Caenorhabditis elegans: one gene and its partners. The protein of the gene in region 2 purifies or fractionates together with the protein of the main gene of each other region. This does not show direct contact. Each region holds a gene or a part of one and is shown on either strand. Other genes may lie near its edges. The genes, in order: F32D8.2, btf-1 and pole-1.

What was found.
Region 1: the proteins of btf-1 (region 2) and F32D8.2 fractionate together in Caenorhabditis elegans (co-fractionation; one large-scale study listed by BioGRID). This does not show direct contact.
Region 3: the proteins of btf-1 (region 2) and pole-1 fractionate together in Caenorhabditis elegans (co-fractionation; one large-scale study listed by BioGRID). This does not show direct contact.

Annotation. Positions count from the first base shown.
Region 1 is NC_003283.11:10,880,286-10,886,804, forward strand, and holds F32D8.2 (ATPase_AAA_core domain-containing protein), read left to right. Parts: upstream 1-3,492; coding exon 3,493-3,670; intron 3,671-3,714; coding exon 3,715-3,826; intron 3,827-3,874; coding exon 3,875-3,979; intron 3,980-4,037; coding exon 4,038-4,083; intron 4,084-4,126; coding exon 4,127-4,240; intron 4,241-4,285; coding exon 4,286-4,417; intron 4,418-4,464; coding exon 4,465-4,680; intron 4,681-4,725; coding exon 4,726-4,856; intron 4,857-4,899; coding exon 4,900-4,980; intron 4,981-5,025; coding exon 5,026-5,136; intron 5,137-5,179; coding exon 5,180-5,330; intron 5,331-5,381; coding exon 5,382-5,530; intron 5,531-5,580; coding exon 5,581-5,644; intron 5,645-5,700; coding exon 5,701-5,817; downstream 5,818-6,519. Other genes in the region: cat-6 (Protein kinase domain-containing protein), read left to right, coding at 592-646, 712-815, 1,992-2,132, 2,184-2,333, 2,410-2,839, 2,905-3,026.
Region 2 is NC_003280.10:13,197,177-13,203,695, forward strand, and holds the start of btf-1 (BTAF (TBP-associated factor) homolog), read left to right. Parts: upstream 1-2,988; 5' UTR 2,989-2,994; coding exon 2,995-3,123; intron 3,124-3,496; coding exon 3,497-3,601; intron 3,602-3,654; coding exon 3,655-3,849; intron 3,850-4,666; coding exon 4,667-4,932; intron 4,933-6,041; coding exon 6,042-6,258; intron 6,259-6,519. Other genes in the region: lec-1 (Galectin), read left to right, coding at 858-1,433, 2,066-2,302.
Region 3 is NC_003279.8:15,010,850-15,017,368, reverse strand, and holds the start of pole-1 (DNA polymerase epsilon catalytic subunit), read left to right. Parts: upstream 1-3,464; 5' UTR 3,465-3,494; coding exon 3,495-3,535; intron 3,536-3,579; coding exon 3,580-4,218; intron 4,219-4,270; coding exon 4,271-4,601; intron 4,602-4,649; coding exon 4,650-5,269; intron 5,270-5,316; coding exon 5,317-5,563; intron 5,564-5,609; coding exon 5,610-5,712; intron 5,713-5,779; coding exon 5,780-6,124; intron 6,125-6,170; coding exon 6,171-6,519. Other genes in the region: F33H2.6 (Regulator of microtubule dynamics protein 1), read left to right, coding at 790-1,058, 1,118-1,294, 1,451-1,587, 1,949-2,079, 2,256-2,447.

The DNA of each region.
Region 1 (6,519 bases), on a different chromosome or scaffold from region 2:
TATTTTCATTAATTCCGTCTGTAACCCTCCATAAGCTCCGCCCATTCTCTCATCCTCTTCTACAACACAATTATAGTAATTCTCTTATTGATGGTTGCAGCTGCTGCAAAAGAAGTAGTTTCCTCTTGTTCCTCACTCTTTTTGGGTGGTGGTCACCTCTCGTCTCCACCCATTTTGTCCCTCCCGTCTTCATTTTCCAAAAAGAGGGTGCCCAATGTCCACTCTTCGTAACCCCGGGTAACTCCGCGCGGCGACTCTCCGCACCTTCCGCACTCTTCGATTATTTCTTGCTTTCTTGTCATTTCCTTTTTCAAAATATTTTGAAATTCATGCTGCCCTTTCTTGTGTTCTGAACCTTCTTACGAATTCGAGTCTTTGGTCCCAACTATAGTCCCATCGTCTTTTCACTATACTTATTTTTGTTTTTCTCCCAAATCACATTACGTTTTCGAGAGTACTCCCTTCTTGATTACTATAATAATCATTATTATTCTTATGATTATTAAAGACATTTGTATAATCTTCTTTGTTTTGCACAGCACTTGTTTTTCAGCTCAATCTCTTCCTCCAAATAATAACTAATTGAAAACAATGAGAGCCCGTTCGAGTTCCGTAACCGTTCTATACGACAGGAGAAATCGAAAAGGTTTGCTTTCGTTTTTCTTTCATTTTTCATATAATCAAAATTATACCCCTTTGCAATCTTTACAGGTGTTTCTCTTGATAGAAACAATAATTATGCATCTCGTGAAGTTGAAAAACAACCTAGAATGGTTCATACATCATCTCGTCACGTCAATGAAGGATTTTTTGGAGTGAGTCAGAACATGAACCTGAGCCAATCTTGTTTTTTTTCAACATTAATAATGGGGGATAAGTACAACTATACACTTTTCGTATATATGTGCACTTTCTGAATGTCCATTCCATTTCCGTCCACTCGTTTTTTTTTTCATTTTTCTTTTTACTTTTACTTATTACTTTTTTGAGCAAGTTGTGAGTCTCCAGATGTTTCTGTTATTGCATCATATGCTTGGTACGGGGACTAGTACGGAAATGGGAACGAAGAAAGAATAAGAGAGTCACCGGAAATGGTCCCAATAGGTATTTTTTGTATATGTTTATGGGATGTTGACTCATCGAACAAAATGTCTAGGGTTGAGAATGTTTTGAAAGCTAAGTGAATCAACGATCAGAATTTGATTGTGATTATAGGTTTGAACATGTTTCTTCAGTTTCTTCAGTTCATTCATAGTATCGGTTGCAGTTCGGCAATTGAGGGTATTCCCCTTGTCCATATTTCTTTTTGATCCTTGGAAGCCTCGCAATCGTGGCTTTGAAATTAAAATTTTTACTGATAAAATTTTGAATTTCCCGTACTTTGCCAGTTAAAAGAACTGTTATCTATGAGGGTCCATACAAAAAAGCATTTAAATTGAAAGAATTCACCAATTTTTACAAAATTGACAAGAACAACAAAGTAACCTTCAAACTTCGAAATATTTACCTCATGCTCCCAATAAACTTCCAACGTTTGGCCGATTTTTCACTTCAGTAAGCATGCTTGTCTGTCCCGATCTTTTGTTGATACGTTGTGTCAAAAGTTTTTAAAAGTTCAAAATTTACGTAATACCCAAATAAAACATGTCTACTTTCTGCAATTACTGCCAAAGATCTACGAAAGAAATGTTCCACCTCATTGACTTTAGCGACCTATTTAACAAATATTTTACTTTTAGCAAACGAACACTTCTGGAAAATGTTTTTTGAACGCAAAGGCCTTGTTCCATTTTCCTTCTCGGCACATCCGTCATAACAATAACTTGTAGTATGTTCAAGGGACAAACCGCTTCTGGGTTTAGGTTAGAATATGCATAAGAAATTGGGATGAGGGAAATACTACATTCCGGATAGTTAGGCAACAGATCATGTCACTAATGGAATCTTTCAGCGTCTCACTTTCTTCATTCAACTTTCATTTCTTTATTTAGGTTTCCAAATGGATCCAACGTGTTGACGGGCGTCAAGACATTGAAAAGCAATACGAGATTGGGGCTATTATTGGCAAAGGAAATTTCTCGAGTGTGCATTTAACTCGACGCAAGGAAGATGGCACCAAATGTGCGCTTAAGGTTCGGTACCAGTCAACATTGCAATTTTCATTTCCTTCAAAGTTTTTTCAGCAAGTTGAGAAAAGAGCAATGCGAGGGAAATGCTTTTTTGTGGACAATGAGGTGGAGATGTTGTCACTCATTCAACATGATCACATCATATCGATTATCGATGCTTTTAGCACTGAAAATCAATACTTCATAGTTTTCGAACATGCACAGGTGAATGATACTCCCAGTTTTGAACAATAACGTGCAAAACTTGACAACACAGTTTGAAAAAAAAAGATTTTTTCAGTACGGGGACTTATATGAAACTATCCGTAAAAATGGTCGAATCGAGGAACCAGATGCTGCTATCATAACTCTCCAAGTTGCATCTGCACTCAATTATCTTCACGAAAGAAATGTGGTTCACAGAGATGTCAAACCTGAAAATCTTCTTCTCGTTGACAAATTTAGTGTGAAGCTTTGCGATTTTGGATTGGCATGTCACATTCTTGGACCTCTGTACCGTATCTGTGGAACCCCAACCTATTGCGCACCAGAAGTTCTTCGGGAGACCGGATATTCGACAAGATGTGATATTTGGTCCCTTGGAGTTGTTCTTTATGTTATGCTTGTTGGATATGCTCCATTCCGTGCACCAGATCAAACCAGATTATTCAAACTTATAATGCAAGCTAAACCAAATCTGGATATGCCAGAATGGAAAGGAATTTCATTGAGTGAGTTGACTGAAACTGAATCTCTAGAAAAAAAATTATTCATAGAAAAAGGAGCAAATTTTCAGAGGCTAAAGATTTGGTATCTCGCTTGATGAATAAAACTGAAGAACGCCGACCACTTGCATCCCAAATAATGGCTCATCCATGGATTGCTCCATACACCATGGAAAATATTGATGATGAATGAATGAAGAAAATTTATAAGTATTGCCCGGTGCCAATGTCTTTCCTTTTCTTGCATATTGATTTGAATAAATAAAATGTACAGTTAAATTTATAAGTTTTCAAAATCTCTTCAAGATAAAAAAACGTGCTCCTATTAAAAAACAGATACATAAAAGTATATTAAAATTGATAAACGCAAACAATTTCTACTTTTTTCGCAGTGTGAGCGGCTGAAAGATTGAACTATTTCCGATGAAAGATGGTGAAAGCCCGTGACTGATGGTTATCCAAAAGACAGTTTCGATGCACTTTTCACGTCAAAATTATATATTTTTAACAACTTTCCTCTTTATAAATACCAAGTTGTAACATATAATCAACTGACCATATCTGGTATTCATTTGTTACATGAACTGGTTCCGGCATTAAGCATCCCCGTCTCTTATGTACATTCATTTGTTCATTCACACCACAAAAGCCATTTAACAATGTCGTTCAATCTAAGAAAACACCAAAGTATTCTTCCAAGTAGCATGATTTTAATGTTTCTTTGCTTTTTTCTTTTAATATTTTCGGTGATAATGAGTCATTTTTCAATCGAGATTAAAGAATTTGATAAGGATGGTGGAATCAAGTATAAACCAGAGTTTGTTTATTCCTTGGTAGGTATGTGATGTTTTTGATTAATTTTCCTGCAGTCTGATTTTCAGAAACCAGAGAATTACTGACCAATGTTTGTAAACTTCCATATATTTTCTTTCCGAATGAAGATGAGGACGTTTTTGGACTTACACCGGACAAATCGAAACAACATATTGTGAGGTGAGGAAAATTGAATTATGCAGAAAATCCAATGAATAACATTTCAAGAGGCGAATGCAAAATAAATGAACTGAATGAAAAGGTTGACTTATCATCTGACGGATATTTGACACTTCGATCAAAAAATACAAATGATTTACCCTCTGATATAAGGTTTGAACTATTTAATTTTTTGTCTTCAATAAGTCAATAACTCAACATATAACTTCAGATGCACCTTTTACAAAAATAGTGGGCCAAATGAGCACCCAATTAAGGTATGAAAGTTAAAATTAAATCTTTAATAATCATAAACATCAGGTTGAAAAAAATGTGCCCGTTAAAGTTCCATTCTACAATTTTGCTTTTGCTTGCGAAAGAAACGGTATTGTTGAATTTCTGAAACCCTTTGTGAATTTTGCATCAATTCCAAAAGTAAGATGAGTTAACAATAGAATCTAAAATTCAACACCATTTTAGAAATCAAACGGGGGATCAATTGCCATAATATTTCTTCCAGCAATAAATCACAAACTATTTATGAAGAAAATGCCGTTGAGTAAGCATTTCATGCAAGACAACCAGTTCAGATTTGCACAATTTATGAGCAAAGTAAGATGTTACTCGATTTTGTAATTATCAATATCGCTAATATTCAGAATGAACCAAATTCAATGCAAGATTTGTTACTACAACTTGGAATTTCAAATAAAATTAATATGTTCAGAAAAGCAAAGCAAAATAATTTTACAACTTTTTTCTCTGGTCCACAACAAATCAGATATATGATTGATGTAGATTATGATACTTTGGATCATCAGAATTTCATAACACAATTCTTAATTGATGGAAACTTATGTTTGAAAAATGGAAAAGTAAGTTTTATATTTCAAAAAAAGTTTATATCACAATTTTTCTAGAAATTAGTAAATGATCAATTGGAAAAAATCGGAGCATTTCTGACATCAACAGCAGATTCCAAGGTGTTTTCAGCAATGTTTATTGATGAATATGATGAATATCGTAGACAATCAATTGATCAAGATTTGAAGTATTATAAAAGTTTTTGAGGAAAAAAACGGACCTTTTTTCAGAAAAATGTTGGATCTATTAAAGGAATCAAACATTTTCGAGAACACTACACTAATCATCACTTCGTACGACTTATCAACAAAGTGAGATTCTTATTTACATTACATGTTAATTTGAACAATTTGCAGAGATATTGAAAACGAAAACGACAAATATCCAATGTTTGCTTTTCGTCCATCCAACCAATTCATAGAAAATAATAATCAGAAACTATATTTCATGAATATGAATTTCAACAGGTTAGGTCTAAAAATTATATTTAAAAAGAATATCTGAGTTTAGGTTATTGTCTTCTACTAATTTCAATCAAATGCTTGTTGAATTAATCAATCCGAAAGAAAAATCTTCAAAATCTGTCTTCATAGCTCAACCAACATCAAGGAACTGTACGTCTGAAGGAATATCAGAAAATATATGTTTATGCATGAATATGGTAATTTCTTTGAAAGTCGGAGAAAAATATAATTATACTTTCAATGTTTAGAGTACATCCTCTGGGTATCCTGAAAAAGGCGAAAAAAACTTCCTTCAAACATTGCGAACAAGATTTACACAAGAAGTGAAAACACACAAATGTGTTCGTTCGTTTGAACTTGAAGATTATAAAATTTTTTATGAATACTCAATTGGAACGTGCGTTATTTTATTTGTATTTCTCTACAATTAGATAAACTGTTGTTCAGAAGTAAGGAAGTACGTGGCGTAGAATTGACCGGATTTGTGAATATTATCAGTTCAAGGGGTAAGGTAAGTTCAATTAATTTTATCTTTTTTTGTTGCAACTAATTTGTTTTTTTTTCCAGAAAACCCTTTTGCTGAAAAAGATGTTCACCTTCAAACCGGAGTTTGCTTCATTTAATAGTTTCGATACAGCAAGGGTTGTTGTCGGTTATGAAGTTAACATTGGTATTGCAAGGTAGGGATTTCCGGTGGAAATTGTTTATTTATTAATCTGTTTTCAGCATGTGTGATTTGTAAAACAACAATCTCACAGGCACTGGCAAAGATTAATACGAGATTCCAAATTTCAGAATGTCACATATCTCACTATATAGTTTGTTCTTATTATTTTTCAAATTATATATGAAATTGATTTTAAGCATATTGTTTTTTTTCCAAAACTGACCCACATAAACAACGAATTTTCATCCCCCGTTTCACCTCATTTCTTTCGTCCTTCCTAGTTTTTCCCTCGCTTTCCATTCTCCTTTTTATTCGATTTTACGCCCTTTTCATCAGCTTTTCCCCTCAATCCTTATCAAATTCCATTACATCACCATGTTCCTCTGTGTTCTGTGATTGTTTCCATATCAATTAGTTCTGTACAGATGACCACCTTTTGTCCGAATCCCCAGCCCGTCTCGTTCGTCACGTTTTTCACTCACTTTCTTCTTCAGTTCGGTTCCACAAACGGCTTCCGTCTGCGTCTCTGAACATTGTTTCACTGTTTCTTCTCTCTTTTTTTTGTCTACTGAGACATACAAAACCTTGTAATAATATCTAGATGCAGGTCTCACCTTACTGTACTATTTTTCGAGATCTGAATTTCCTCGAGACTATTAAAGACGGACTGAAACAGTGGCTACTTCTGTAGAGTGAAGCCATGTTTGAATGTTTGAAGG
Region 2 (6,519 bases):
GGGTGTCAGGCTGTCCCATGTTTGATCTACAAAAAAAAGCGGGAATTTTTTCTCCTGCAACTTTTCGGAGATCAAACTGACATGGGACATTCTGACACCAGCTCGAAAATGGAGAGCATTCCAAGTTTGTTGGTTGCCACTAAAGTGACACATTCCTCTCGTTATCTGCTCGCCCACACCTTCGGTTCCATTATCAACATTCGAGATTCCCGCCATATTTCTGGTGTGTTTGCTCGGCGGCACATCACAACAAAATTTTGTGCAAAATGGAGCAAAATGGAGCTAAAAAATAGAAAGCAACTAGACAATGTAGAAAAGGCATTTTTTGTCGTCGTCAGCTGTATGAAAGTCTGGGGAGCGCGAAGATTGGTGGATGCAGATTGGATAACAGCTCTTCCGCTTTTTCGGGTCTCGCTTCTTGCTCGCTTATTCTGTTCACCAGTGTGTGACACGCGAGGTCCCCCCCCCCCCCCAGCATATATTTCTACATGATTACCCTACTGAACATTTTAAAATGGCATATGGAAGAAGAAATGGTTCTAGAAAACTCTACTTATAAATCTATTACCGAAACACAAAATTCTGAGAATGCGTATCGCGCGACATATTTGACGCGCAAAATATCTCGTAGCGAAAACTACAGTAGTTCATTGTTCATTACATGACTACTGTAGCGCTTGTGTGTCGATTTACGGCATTTCACAAGCGCTACAGTAGGCATTTAAGGAGTTACTGTAGTTTTCGCTACGAGATATTTTGCGCGTCAAATATGTTGTGCAGTACGCATTATCAGAAAAATGTGTTCCCGTAATAATCCAATTAATTTTTTAAAAAATTAAAATTTTTAAATTTTTCAGCCAGTACCATACCGCTCAGTGCTCCAGGAGAAGTTCGAGCCCGGACAGACGCTCATCGTCAAGGGATCGACGATCGACGAGTCGCAACGCTTCACCATCAACCTTCACTCGAAGACCGCGGATTTCTCCGGAAACGATGTGCCACTCCACGTCTCTGTCCGCTTCGATGAGGGCAAAATTGTGCTCAACTCGTTCTCGAATGGAGAATGGGGAAAGGAAGAGCGCAAGTCGAACCCAATCAAGAAGGGAGACTCGTTCGACATTCGCATCCGTGCTCACGACGATCGCTTCCAGATCATCGTCGACCACAAGGAGTTCAAGGACTACGAGCACCGTCTGCCACTCTCCTCAATCTCTCACCTCTCGATTGACGGAGATCTCTACTTGAACCACGTTCACTGGGGAGGAAAGTACTACCCAGTACCATACGAGAGCGGACTCGCCAACGGACTTCCAGTCGGAAAGAGCCTCCTCGTCTTTGGAACCGTTGAGAAGAAGGCCAAGCGCTTCCACGTCAACCTTCTCCGCAAGAATGGAGACATCTCGTTCCACTTCAACCCACGTTTCGATGAGAAGGTAAGGGTTGATATATGCCACGAGGCACCACAGAAAGGAGAACCACGACAAAGGAGAACAGGAACCACGTCCATTTTTCCGTGCCGCGAGAGGCACCACATTTTCAGGATCTGGAACCGTACCAACTGCGGTTTTTGCAGTTTTCTCTCGATGAAAAACGAAACAACGATGCTCCGATGTTATGCGTGTTGTTTAGCGTTTTCCAAAAGTTTTTATTTCAAAAAAACATTATTCTGAACGCTAAACAACACGCGACGCGTCATATCGGAGTATCGTTGTTTCGTTTTTCAGCGAGAGAAAACTGCAAAAACCGCAGTTGGCACGGTGCCCCAGATCCTGAAAACGTGGTGCCTCAAAATTTGCGGAAAACTTGCGGCACGGAAAAATGGGTGTGGTTTCTGTGTTCTCCTTGTTCACCTGTTCTCCTTTCTGTGGTGCCTCACACACACATACACAAAAAGACCCGCATTTTGTTTGCTACATTTGGGCAAATATGGCGCTCTTCAACAAACAATTTTATGAGACACAAAAGTTTTGCATGTGTCTATTTCTATTGGTAAAATTGGTGAAAGGACAAAAAAAAATCGATTTCAATAGAAATTTGACCAAATTCTTTATTTCCTTTCTTCCAGCACGTCATCCGCAACTCTCTTGCCGCCAACGAATGGGGAAATGAGGAGCGCGAGGGAAAGAACCCATTCGAGAAGGGAGTCGGCTTCGACTTGGTCATCCAAAACGAGGAGTACGCGTTCCAGGTGTTCGTCAACGGAGAACGCTACATCTCGTTCGCTCACCGCGCCGATCCACACGACATTGCCGGGCTTCAGATCTCTGGAGACATTGAGCTGTCTGGAATTCAAATCCAATAAATTATGTATTGATATCCCCTGTTCCCCCTCTTTCTTCTGTTATCCAGCTCTCCCATTTCTCTCTCTCTCACTGATCAATCTTCCAAAAGTCTACTGCCCCTCTCCCCCCCCCCCCCCCCCAAAAAGAATCATTTCTCTATTATTTCGCACCGGCAACTGAACTGTAATCCCGCGTTTTTCTTTTTGTATCTTTTCTCACCCCCCACATTGTATTTTAATAAAATTGGATAGCAGATTTTCTCGTTGTCATTTCAGGTTTCATATTTTGAAAGCGGATCATCATGAAAAGTTCTGCGAAAAAAACGCGAAAAGTAAGCGAAAACTCGAAAAAACTATATTTGAAAGTACCGCCGTTTTTGTCCAGGAGAGCGCGTTTTCCTCGAGTCACTACAAATTGCACGGAAGTCGAATCGTGAAAACCGCGCGTGTTTCCCATCAGGTTTGCCTACAAAATTTAGTTTTCTTCTTATTGTTAAATCAATAATTATTATAATGTATAATGTGAAGCTCGAAATCTTGAATAATCCTGAATAATCCTGCTATAAACTCGGGTTTCTAAAGTTTTCCTCAGGATTTTTGTTCCCTGGAATGCGTGGTGTCTCCCATTTTTTTTTGGATTTTTGGATTTAAATGCATTTTTCGCTGTTTTTTCTCTCAAATAAGCCGGAAAAATTGAAAATTTTCAGTTTCCGATGAGCGCCGACACGTCGGCTCGTCTTCTTCAGCTTGACCCTCTACTCGAAGCGAAAAATCCGAATGTTCGAAATGAAGCGGCCGCTGCGTTCGGGAAATTGTCAATTTTAAGTGAAGACGTGAAAAATGTTGGTTAATTAATATATATTTTTTTTAAATCACAAGAAAAAGTAAAAAATCACGGGTGAAAAGCGAGTTTATATATTTTTTTCCCTCGAAATGCCGAATATTAATTATAAAATTCAGTATTTTTGGGTTATTTTGAGTATTTTGAAGGTGTACTAACGGTTTAGACTCAAAAACCGTTAGTCTTCGTTTAAAATACTCAAAATGCCCCAGAAATACTGAATTTTATAATTAATTTTCGATATTTCGAGTGAAAAAAACATATAAGCTCGCTTTTTTCCGGTGATTTTTCACTCATTTTCAGTGATTTTTTCACTTTTTTCAGGGGTTTATCTTTTTTAAATACTTTAAATATATAAATAATCTTAATTTCAGAGTCTCAAAAAACACGCGGCATCTCAACTCTGGGAGACACGAGTATCTGCTGGAAAAGCGTTGCAGGCGACACTTCAGAATGCTCCAGAATTCGAACGATTGAAGGTTTTTCTGAGCTTTTTGAGTTATGAAATTCTTTAAAAAAATCGATTTTTCAGAATGAAGAAGACTCATCGGTATCGGAAAATGTCAGAAGCATCGTTGTGATGAACGTTTTACGATCGTTCAAGCCACTGTTAAGTGATGATGAGTCGGCACTGAAAAAGTCGGAAAAAGATCGAGGAAATAATCAGAAACAGCGGGAAATTGTAGATCAACACCTTGAATACAATCGGGCCACCGGAATAAGCTCGGTATCGATTTTTCCGGCAGTTTTCTGGGGAAAAAACCAAAAAAAAACGAATCTGGCGCCCAGATTTGCTTAAAAGTCAATTTTTTTTTCAATTTTTCACAAAGTTTTTTGAGAAAATTTGGATTTTAGCTAAAATTTTAGTACGTTTTTCTTGCAAAAATTTGGGGTTTTCTGAGTTTTCGGTTTCTAACCCATGAAAATTCGAATTTGGAACCCAGAAAGTCATTTTTTTCAATTTTTTAGAAAAAATCGAAGAAAAATTGCCGAATTGCCGGAATTGAAAAATTCTGGCAAATCGGCGAAATGCCGAAACTGAAATTTTCCGGCAAATCGATAAACCGGTAACTTGCCGAAATTAAAATTGAAATTGCTTTGAAATTGAAAATATTAAAACTGGAAATTCCCGGCAAAACGGCAAACTACCGAAATTGAATACTGGCAAATCGGTCATTTGCCGGAAATTTCAAATTCCGGCAATATGCCGATTTGCCGGAAATTTCAAATTCCGGCAATATGCCGATTTGCCGGAAATTTCAAATTCCGGCAATATGCCGGATTTGAAAACTTTTGGCAAATCGACAAACCGGCAATTCGTGGAAAATCGAAAAATTTCCGGGAAATCGGCAATTTGCCCGAATTGAAATTAAAAATTGAAATTTCCGGCAAAACGGCAAATTGCCGGATTTGAAAACTTCTGGAAAATCGGCAAAAAAGGCGAAAATTGCGGATTTGCCGGTTTTGCCGAAACAATGTACAATTGCCGCTCACCCCTGAAAGAGATTATTAAGAAAACGTTGAACATTAAATTTTCATTTCAGACAAAATTCCTCAGCGACGACGAATTTTTGCATCAAGGAATCTCGGAACCAGATCAACCATCAACTAGTAAAGAATTGGATGAGGTGGTCACGAAAATTGAGATTTTTGATGAAGAAAATGGCAATTGTGATGATGGAATTGAAAGGCAAAAGAAGTTTTTGAAGGTTTTAAGGGAATTAGTGAATTTGGTAGCCGAGAAACAATGGTACGCAAGGCATGGCGGTGCGATTGCTATTTGTCAGATTGCTTCTACTTCTTATGACAGGTACTTGGCAGGATTTTTTGGGATTTGAAGAATTTTATTGAAAAAATCTAACTTTTATTTTAAAGGCAGAATTTAAACAAAAAAAATAAAATGATTTTTTCAATTTTGAAAAAAAACAACAATACGGGAACACAAAATTCTGAGAACGCGTATTGCACAACATATTTGACGCGCAAAATATCTTGTAGCGAAAACTACAGTAATCCGTTAAATTACTACTGTAGCGCTTGTGTCGATTTACGAGCTCGAGTTTGAAATGAATTTCTTTCGAAAAATTACAGCGATTCTGAATTTTTTGTAGGTTTTTCGTCTTTTTCAAAATTATTTTTGTGTTTAAAAAAAAAATATTTCATCGATTAATAAATCATTTTCGTAATTCGACACAAACGCTACAGTAGTCATTTAAAGAATTACTGTAGTTTTCGCTACGAGATATTTTGCGCGTCAAATATGTTGTGCAATACGCATTCTCCGAATATTGTGTTCCCGTAATAACTGCCTAATTAAATTTGATTTCCCGCGCAAATCAATAACCTTATTTCGACAATTTCGCGTTTTCTGACTAATTTTACCCGTTTTTCCTGATTTTTTCCTTATGTATTGGATTTTAAACACCGTCTGAAAATTTGTCAGACGCATTGAAGGTTTTTTTAAACATTTATTTACAATTTTTTTGCAGGAAAAAATATAGAAGTAAAAATAATTTTTAAAAAACTGAAGAATTTAGCCAGAAAACCCGTGGTGCGAGGTTGTCCAATTACTGTTTGATCTACAAAAATGCGGGAAATTTTTTTGCCCGAAAAAATGTGACAATCAGTTGAGAACTCTGCGTCTCTTCTCCCGCATTTTTTGTAGATCTACGTAGATCAAACCGAAATGAGACAATCTGACCATGTGAGAAAACACGAAAATGACGTCACTCACTTGCGCGGGAATTAAAATTTTTTAATTCGGCCGTTTCTTAGATTTTTGAAAAAGTTAAGAATCATTCAAAAAAATTAAATTATCTTTAAAATTTTTTTTATAGTTATTCCCTGGACTCTACTCCACGTTTGAAGAATTTTATTTTTAAAAAATTAAAAAATCTATCTTTTTTTTCCAAATTTCAGATTATCCTATGAGCTAATCGACACAATACTCTATCTACTGATCCATGTGCTCATTCTCGACAAGTTCAATGATTTCATCTCTGGCAGAAATGCGACGGCTCCGGTTAGAGAGCAATGTGCTCAAGCTCTCGTCCACATGCTTCGAAATACGGATGAAAAGCGACGGGAGGTGGTTCTAGAGATTGTCGTGCAGATGGTCAGGACGCCAGGAGAAAAAGTGAATTTTTAGTTGAAAAAATTGATTTAAAAAAATTTTTTTAGATAAAAAAAATGAGAATTTTGCTCTTTTTGCTCCAAAAGTGCTCCAAAAAAAAATTTTTAATGCGAAAATATATTTTGAAAAATCGACGAAAATTTCGCAAAGGTTGAAATTACAGTACTCTTTAAAGGCGCATACCCTTTCACATTAAAAAAAATTGTCGTGCCGAGACCGGGTACCGTATTTTTTGCGCAAAATTTCGCGTGTATGTAATATTAA
Region 3 (6,519 bases), on a different chromosome or scaffold from region 2:
ACGTCTTTTTTAAAAGTTAGAATCTCCCTAATGCATTGTTTTTACCCCTTTTTTCAAATCGATTTTCATAAAGCTTGGCCGAACTTTTTCTCTCTTCTCTCATTATCACTTATCAGTGTTTACCTTTACACCACTTGTACTTTGAACTGTGAAATGCTGACAACATTATAGCGTTCTCAGTAGCCTACGAGAATTTTTCTAAAACTTGCCTGGAACCAGTTTGAACGCAAAATTTTTCCCTTTCGAGTGTTCAAAATTAATTTTCAAATTTTCATTTTGTTCGAAAAAGGTTTTGGCGTATGACTCTTTCCGAATATCTTTGTGAAATTAAAAAAAAACTTCTCGGATTTAATATTTCAGCTTGAAATCTCGCACCCAAAACTTAACGCGCCAGAGGCAGTCTCATTGGGGCGCACCGTGCTGTGTCGATTTACGGGATTTTTCACCATCTGTCATGTTTTTTCAAAAACTTTTTTTTTGGTTATTATTTGGAAAATTGTTTTTTCCGTGTCAATTGAACATTTTATTATATCCAAATCACAACTCGATGAAAATCCGAATTTTCGAAAAAAAAAACGATAAATTTAAGGCTTTTTTAGTTTAAAAAATTTAAAGATATTCGGAATTAGGGGGTTGGAATAATTCAGTGAATGCGTCTTTGAGTATGAGTTTTTTGAAAAATTACCTATGTACTTGGAAAAAGGCCATCGAAATTAATAATATATTTTTGTTTCAATATTTATAATTTATTTAAAATTGTCTAATTTTTGCAGCCTCTGAAGAAAAAAAATGTTCAAACGAGTATTCAATCTCCGTTTTATTTCGAATTTCTCTCGCCGCCCGACATCTTCTCCAAAACTTCCGAAATTAATTGCAATCACTGGTGGAACCTCGCTTGGAATCGCATTTTTTGGAAAAACTGAAGAGAACAAGAATTTGGACTCAGGAAATGGACAATTAATTGATGGAAAACCGAAAAATTTCGATTTAATTGTTCGAAATTCGGATGAACTTTATGATAATTATCTAATCGATAATTGTTATAATATTTTGAAAAAGTGAATTTTCAATTAACTTTTAGAAATGTCCATTTTAACTTTTCTTTCCAATTTTTAAGATTTGAAAATTCCAATTGCTCCGAGCTTCTATGGCGTCTGGCACGTGTGGTTTGTGAGAAAGGAAAACTCTCAAAAGATCAAAATCAACGAAAAGAGCTCATTTTGGAAGCCTATGGAATTGTGAAAAAAGCTCTTGACAATGAGCCAAAGAATGGATGCTTTGGAGCACATAAATGGTACGATTTGGAGTTAAAACGCTATTTATTCCGGGTAGAACAACACAATTTTGCGAGAAAAAAAAACTATGACTGAGGGTGGAAATCGAAAACTGAGCACCTGCCTTTTTTGGCGGCTGAGTTTTAGCATTTTCTATGCCACATGGCTATCTTTAGGTATGCCATTCTACTGGATTACGTTGGAGAGATCGAGGGAAACAAATCGAGAATCGAAAAATCATTCCAAGTGCGGAAACATTTAGAGAAGGCGTTATCGATTTTCGAGAACGATCCAACAACGTGGCATATTTTGGGTAAGGGATTCCGGATTGAACAGAGAAAAAAAAAGAAAAATCATGTTAGAATTTATTCACGTGGAGTCAGACGGTCCCTTTTCGCTTTGATCTACGAAACATGCGGGAGGTGAGACGTAGACATCTCAACTGATTTCGCATGGTTAACAGTGTGCTTACGTCACAAATTTTCTGGGAAAAAATTCCCGCATTTTTTGTAGATCAAACCGCAATGAGACTTTCTGACACCCCGTGTTTATTCCGAATTAAAGCTCTACAGCTCACCGTTCAATCAACGGGGGCGGGCGGTGCTTAACCATTATTTTTTTTAGATATTTCTGCATTTCGCTTCGAGAATTAAAAAGAAAACCTCAAATTTCAGGAGTCTGGCACTTTTCCTTCGCCAATATGGGTTACGCGACTCGAATGGTGGCCAAAGCTATTTTCGCAACTCCACCAGCATCCACATATCAGGAGGCTCTACACTATTTCCTAAAGGCTGAACAGATTTCGGTAAAAAAATATCAGAATTCAAACACTTTTAGTGAATCTCTCATAGTCAATCAAAAACATACAAAAATGAAAAGTTGTCGACCAAATTTTTTTACACTTTGAACATTTTCCTCCACTTGGGAAGTAAATAGTGCCACGAAAAATTCAGATCATTATAGTTAAATTCAAATTTTCAGCCCGGATTCTACAGTACGAATACCTACTACATTGGCGAAGTGTACGAACAACTAGGACAAAAAGCCGAAGCACTTGATGCATTCAAACAATCATTCAAAATGCCAGTTGTGACTTCTGATGACGCGGTTATTCATAAGAAAGCATACGAGAAACTGAAGAAATATGGAGTCAAGGATACTGAAGTTGTTTAGATTGTGAAAAATATGTATTTGTAAGATGATTGTTGTAATTTTTAACAGAATAAAAATATTTATTTGAATTTAATAATTGTCTAATGTCAGCTAAATAATATTGTCGGAAATGAGGCACCACGGTTTCAAGATCTGGTGAAATTCCGGATCTACGTTTTCCGGAAATACGATTTCCGGATCTACGTTTTCCGAATCTAGCACCGTGCCAACCCACAAAACGCTTTTTTATTCACTCGACGCACGTTGTTTTTTGAAAATTTCTTCTAGAAGAAACGCTTAACAACACGCGACGCTTAACAACGGAGCATCGTTGTCACGTTTTTCTCCGAGAAAAATAGCGTTTTAAGAGTTGGCCAGATCCGGAAAACGTAGATCCGGAAATGGTAGATCCGGAAAACGGAGATCCGGAATTTTACCAGATCTTGATACCGTGGTGCGAGGCACCACGTTTTCAAGATCTGTTCAAAAACAAGATCTACGAAAACAAGATCCACCAAAACAAGATCTACGTTTTCAGGATCTGGCACCGTGCCAACTGCGGTTTTCTCGAAGAAAACGAAACAACGATGCTCCGATGTTACGTTCGCGTGTTGTTTAGCGTTCAAACGAATATTTTTTGAAATTTTCTTCTAGAATTTACGCAACACGCGTACGCACGCGTAGAGAAAACCGCAGTTGGCACGGTGCCAGATCCTGAAAACGTAGATCTTGTTTTGGTAGATCTTGAAAAGGTAGATTTTGTTTTGGTGGATCTTGTTTTCGTAGATCTTGTTTTTGAACAAATCTTGAAAACGTGGTGCCTCCGTGGTGCCTCTCGGAAATTCAATTGTATTGCTTTAAAATTCAAATTCTGCTCCTTCCCTCCATTTTATGATCTGGTGGCCTAGAATTCCACCCAACTCGTCCTCTGGCCGAGCGCGCGAAATCTTGCATTTTAAACTCGATTTCCCATGAAATTAACTTAAATTTGCCATTTTATCTAGTTTTTTCTTTAGTTATTTGATTTTCAGTATTTTCAGACAAGTTCGGTCATCGCCAGCAAGCTCAATGAGCTCCAAGGATGACATTCTTGCACAGGCGGTCGAAAAGTTTGTTTCAAGAATGGAGAAAGTATAAAATCTTCTTTTTTTAGTGATTCAAACTACAAAGAGCGGCTTGCCCTGATCAGATCAAATGATGAGATTGATGCGAAGCTTGGTTTCTCTAGATACACAGGACTACAGGAGAAAAAAGGATTTCTGATAAACATCCAACCTTCGGAGCTTGTCGACGAGCAAACCAAAGTTATTATTTCGGTCGTTGACTATTTCTTCATCAGTGATATGGACGAACGCTTCAAAATCAGTTACCCATTTCGACCGTATTTCTATATTGCCACGTTGGATGGATTTGAATTCCAAGTATCCAGTTATCTGTCCAAGAAGTACGGAGCCCAGACAGCAGTTGAACATATGGATCGGGAGGATTTAGATTTGAAAGATCATCTTTCTGGGTTGAAGAAGACATATATCAAACTCTCATTCACCAGCACCGTGGAATTGATAAAAATCCGTAAGGAATTAATGCCGCTGGTGCGGAAAAACACAGATCGCATCAAAAAAGAGTCGGCGTACGCTGACTATTTGGCGAGGAATCTGAGTGGAAAAGGAGGAGATAGTAAGGATCAACAGTTGAATGGTGACATCTTGAATCAAATTGTTGATATCAGAGAATACGACGTGCCTTTTCACATGAGAGTTTCCATCGATGAAAAGATCTTCGTCGGATTATGGTTGGAATCATCCTTTTCTTCTTTTTTAAATTCTAAATTTATAAATTTCCAGGTACGATGTGAAAGGAATTGGCCCGAACCGTGTTCCAACAATAAAGCGAAAAGATTTGCCCTTGTTCCACGCAAAGCCGAAAGTTCTCGCCTTTGACATTGAAACAACGAAACTTCCGTTGAAATTTCCGGATCGTGAGAGCGATGAAATTATGATGATATCATATATGGTTGATGGACGTGGATTTTTGATTATCAACCGAGAAATCGTGTCGGCTGATATTAATGCGTTCGAATACACACCGAAAGCCGAGTACATAGGAGAATTCACAGTCTGGAATGAGAAGGACGAAGCTGCTCTGATTCGGAAATTTTTCGATCATTTTTTGCAGGTAAATTCTACTTTTAAACTGAATTTGATTAGAATCATTTTCTTGCAGGTTCGTCCAAATATTGTTGTCACCTACAATGGAGATTTCTTCGATTGGCCATTCGTAGAAGCTCGTGCCAAGATCCGCGGATTCAATATGGAAAGGGAAATCGGATTTTCTAAGGATTCCGCCGATGAGTACAAATCACGAAATTGTATTCATATGGACGCTTTCCGATGGGTCAAACGTGACTCATATCTACCGGTTGGAAGTCAGAATCTGAAGGCAGTGACGAAGGCAAAGCTGAGATATGATCCAGTTGAGGTGGAGCCGGAACTGATGTGCAAAATGGCTCGAGAGCAGCCTCAACAGCTGGCCAATTACTCGGTTTCGGATGCAGTGTCCACTTATTATCTCTACATGAAGTATGTTCATCAATTTATCTTCGCTTTGTGCACAATTATCCCACTAGGAGCAGATGACGTGTTGAGAAAAGGATCTGGAACACTTTGTGAAGCTCTTCTGATGGTTGAAGCATTCCATAACAATATTGTGTTCCCGAACAAGTACACTGGACCAGAGGAGACAAGATTCAGTAAAGATGGACATCGTGTTGAGAGCGAGACCTATGTCGGAGGACACGTGGAAGCTCTGGAGGCCGGCGTATTCAGAGCGGATATTCCAGCAAAGTAAATTCAGGATTCATTTGAAAGCGAGAAAATAACGATTTTTTCAGATTCCGGCTTTCCGTTCCTGCTCTTGAGCAATTAAAATCCGAGATTCAAGAGACCCTTCGCAAGGAGCTGGCTCGAGAGTTTGAGGTCACTCTTGACCAGGTCGTTGACTTTGATGAGCAGTGCGCTGAAGTTCAAGATGCATTTGATGGAATGATAAATGTGCCAACACGCCTCGAGAATCCACGTATCTACCATTTGGACGTCGGGGCCATGTACCCCAACATCATTTTGACTAATCGATTGCAGGTTAAGATTTGGACTGATATATATTTAACTATTCTCTGATTTTCAGCCATGTGCGATGGTCACCGAGGAGATTTGCATGGGATGCTCCTACAACAAACCAGACGCAGAATGCAAGAGGACGATGGCTTGGGAATGGAGGGGAGAGCTGAGTACGGAATAATGATTTTATATTTATTGAAAGCCCAAGCAAATCTAGCCCAAATCTGAAATTTTCAGCACCAGCCACTCGAGGAGAATACCAGCAAATTATGCAGCAACTCGAAGCAGAATCGTTTGGAAAACCACCGAAACACTTTCATATGCTCGAGAGATCGGAGCGAGAAGCCATCGAAATGAAGCGTATCAAAGATTACAGCAGGCGTGTCTACGGAAAGACTCATTTGACAAGATTAGAAATGAGAGAAACTACAATTTGTCAACGGGAGAATCATTTCTACGTGGAAACTGTAAAAGCGTTCCGTGATAGAAGATACGAGTACAAGGATATGTTGAAAAAGGCGAAAGGACGATTCGATCAAGCCCAGGCGACAAATGATCTTGCAACTATGACTACATCTAAGTGTATGTGGTTATATTTACATTTTTAGTTAAAAACAACATTTTTCAGTGGAAATGGTGCTCTACGAATCACTGCAGCTGGCTCACAAGTGCATTCTCAACTCTTTCTACGGATATGTGATGCGTAAAGGATCCAGATGGTTTTCAATGGAGATGGCTGGAATTGTGTGCCATACTGGTGCAAATATCATCCGAGAAGCACGCAAACTTGTTGAACAGATTGGAACACCGTTGGAGCTTGACACTGATGGAATTTGGTGCCTGATCCCTGCTTCGTTCCCTGAAAATGTCACTTTCAAGCTGAAAAATCACAAAAGAAGTTCTGTTACAGTGTCGTATCCGGGTGCAATGCTGAATGCGTTGGTGTATGAAGGATTCACCAATCATCAGTACCACAC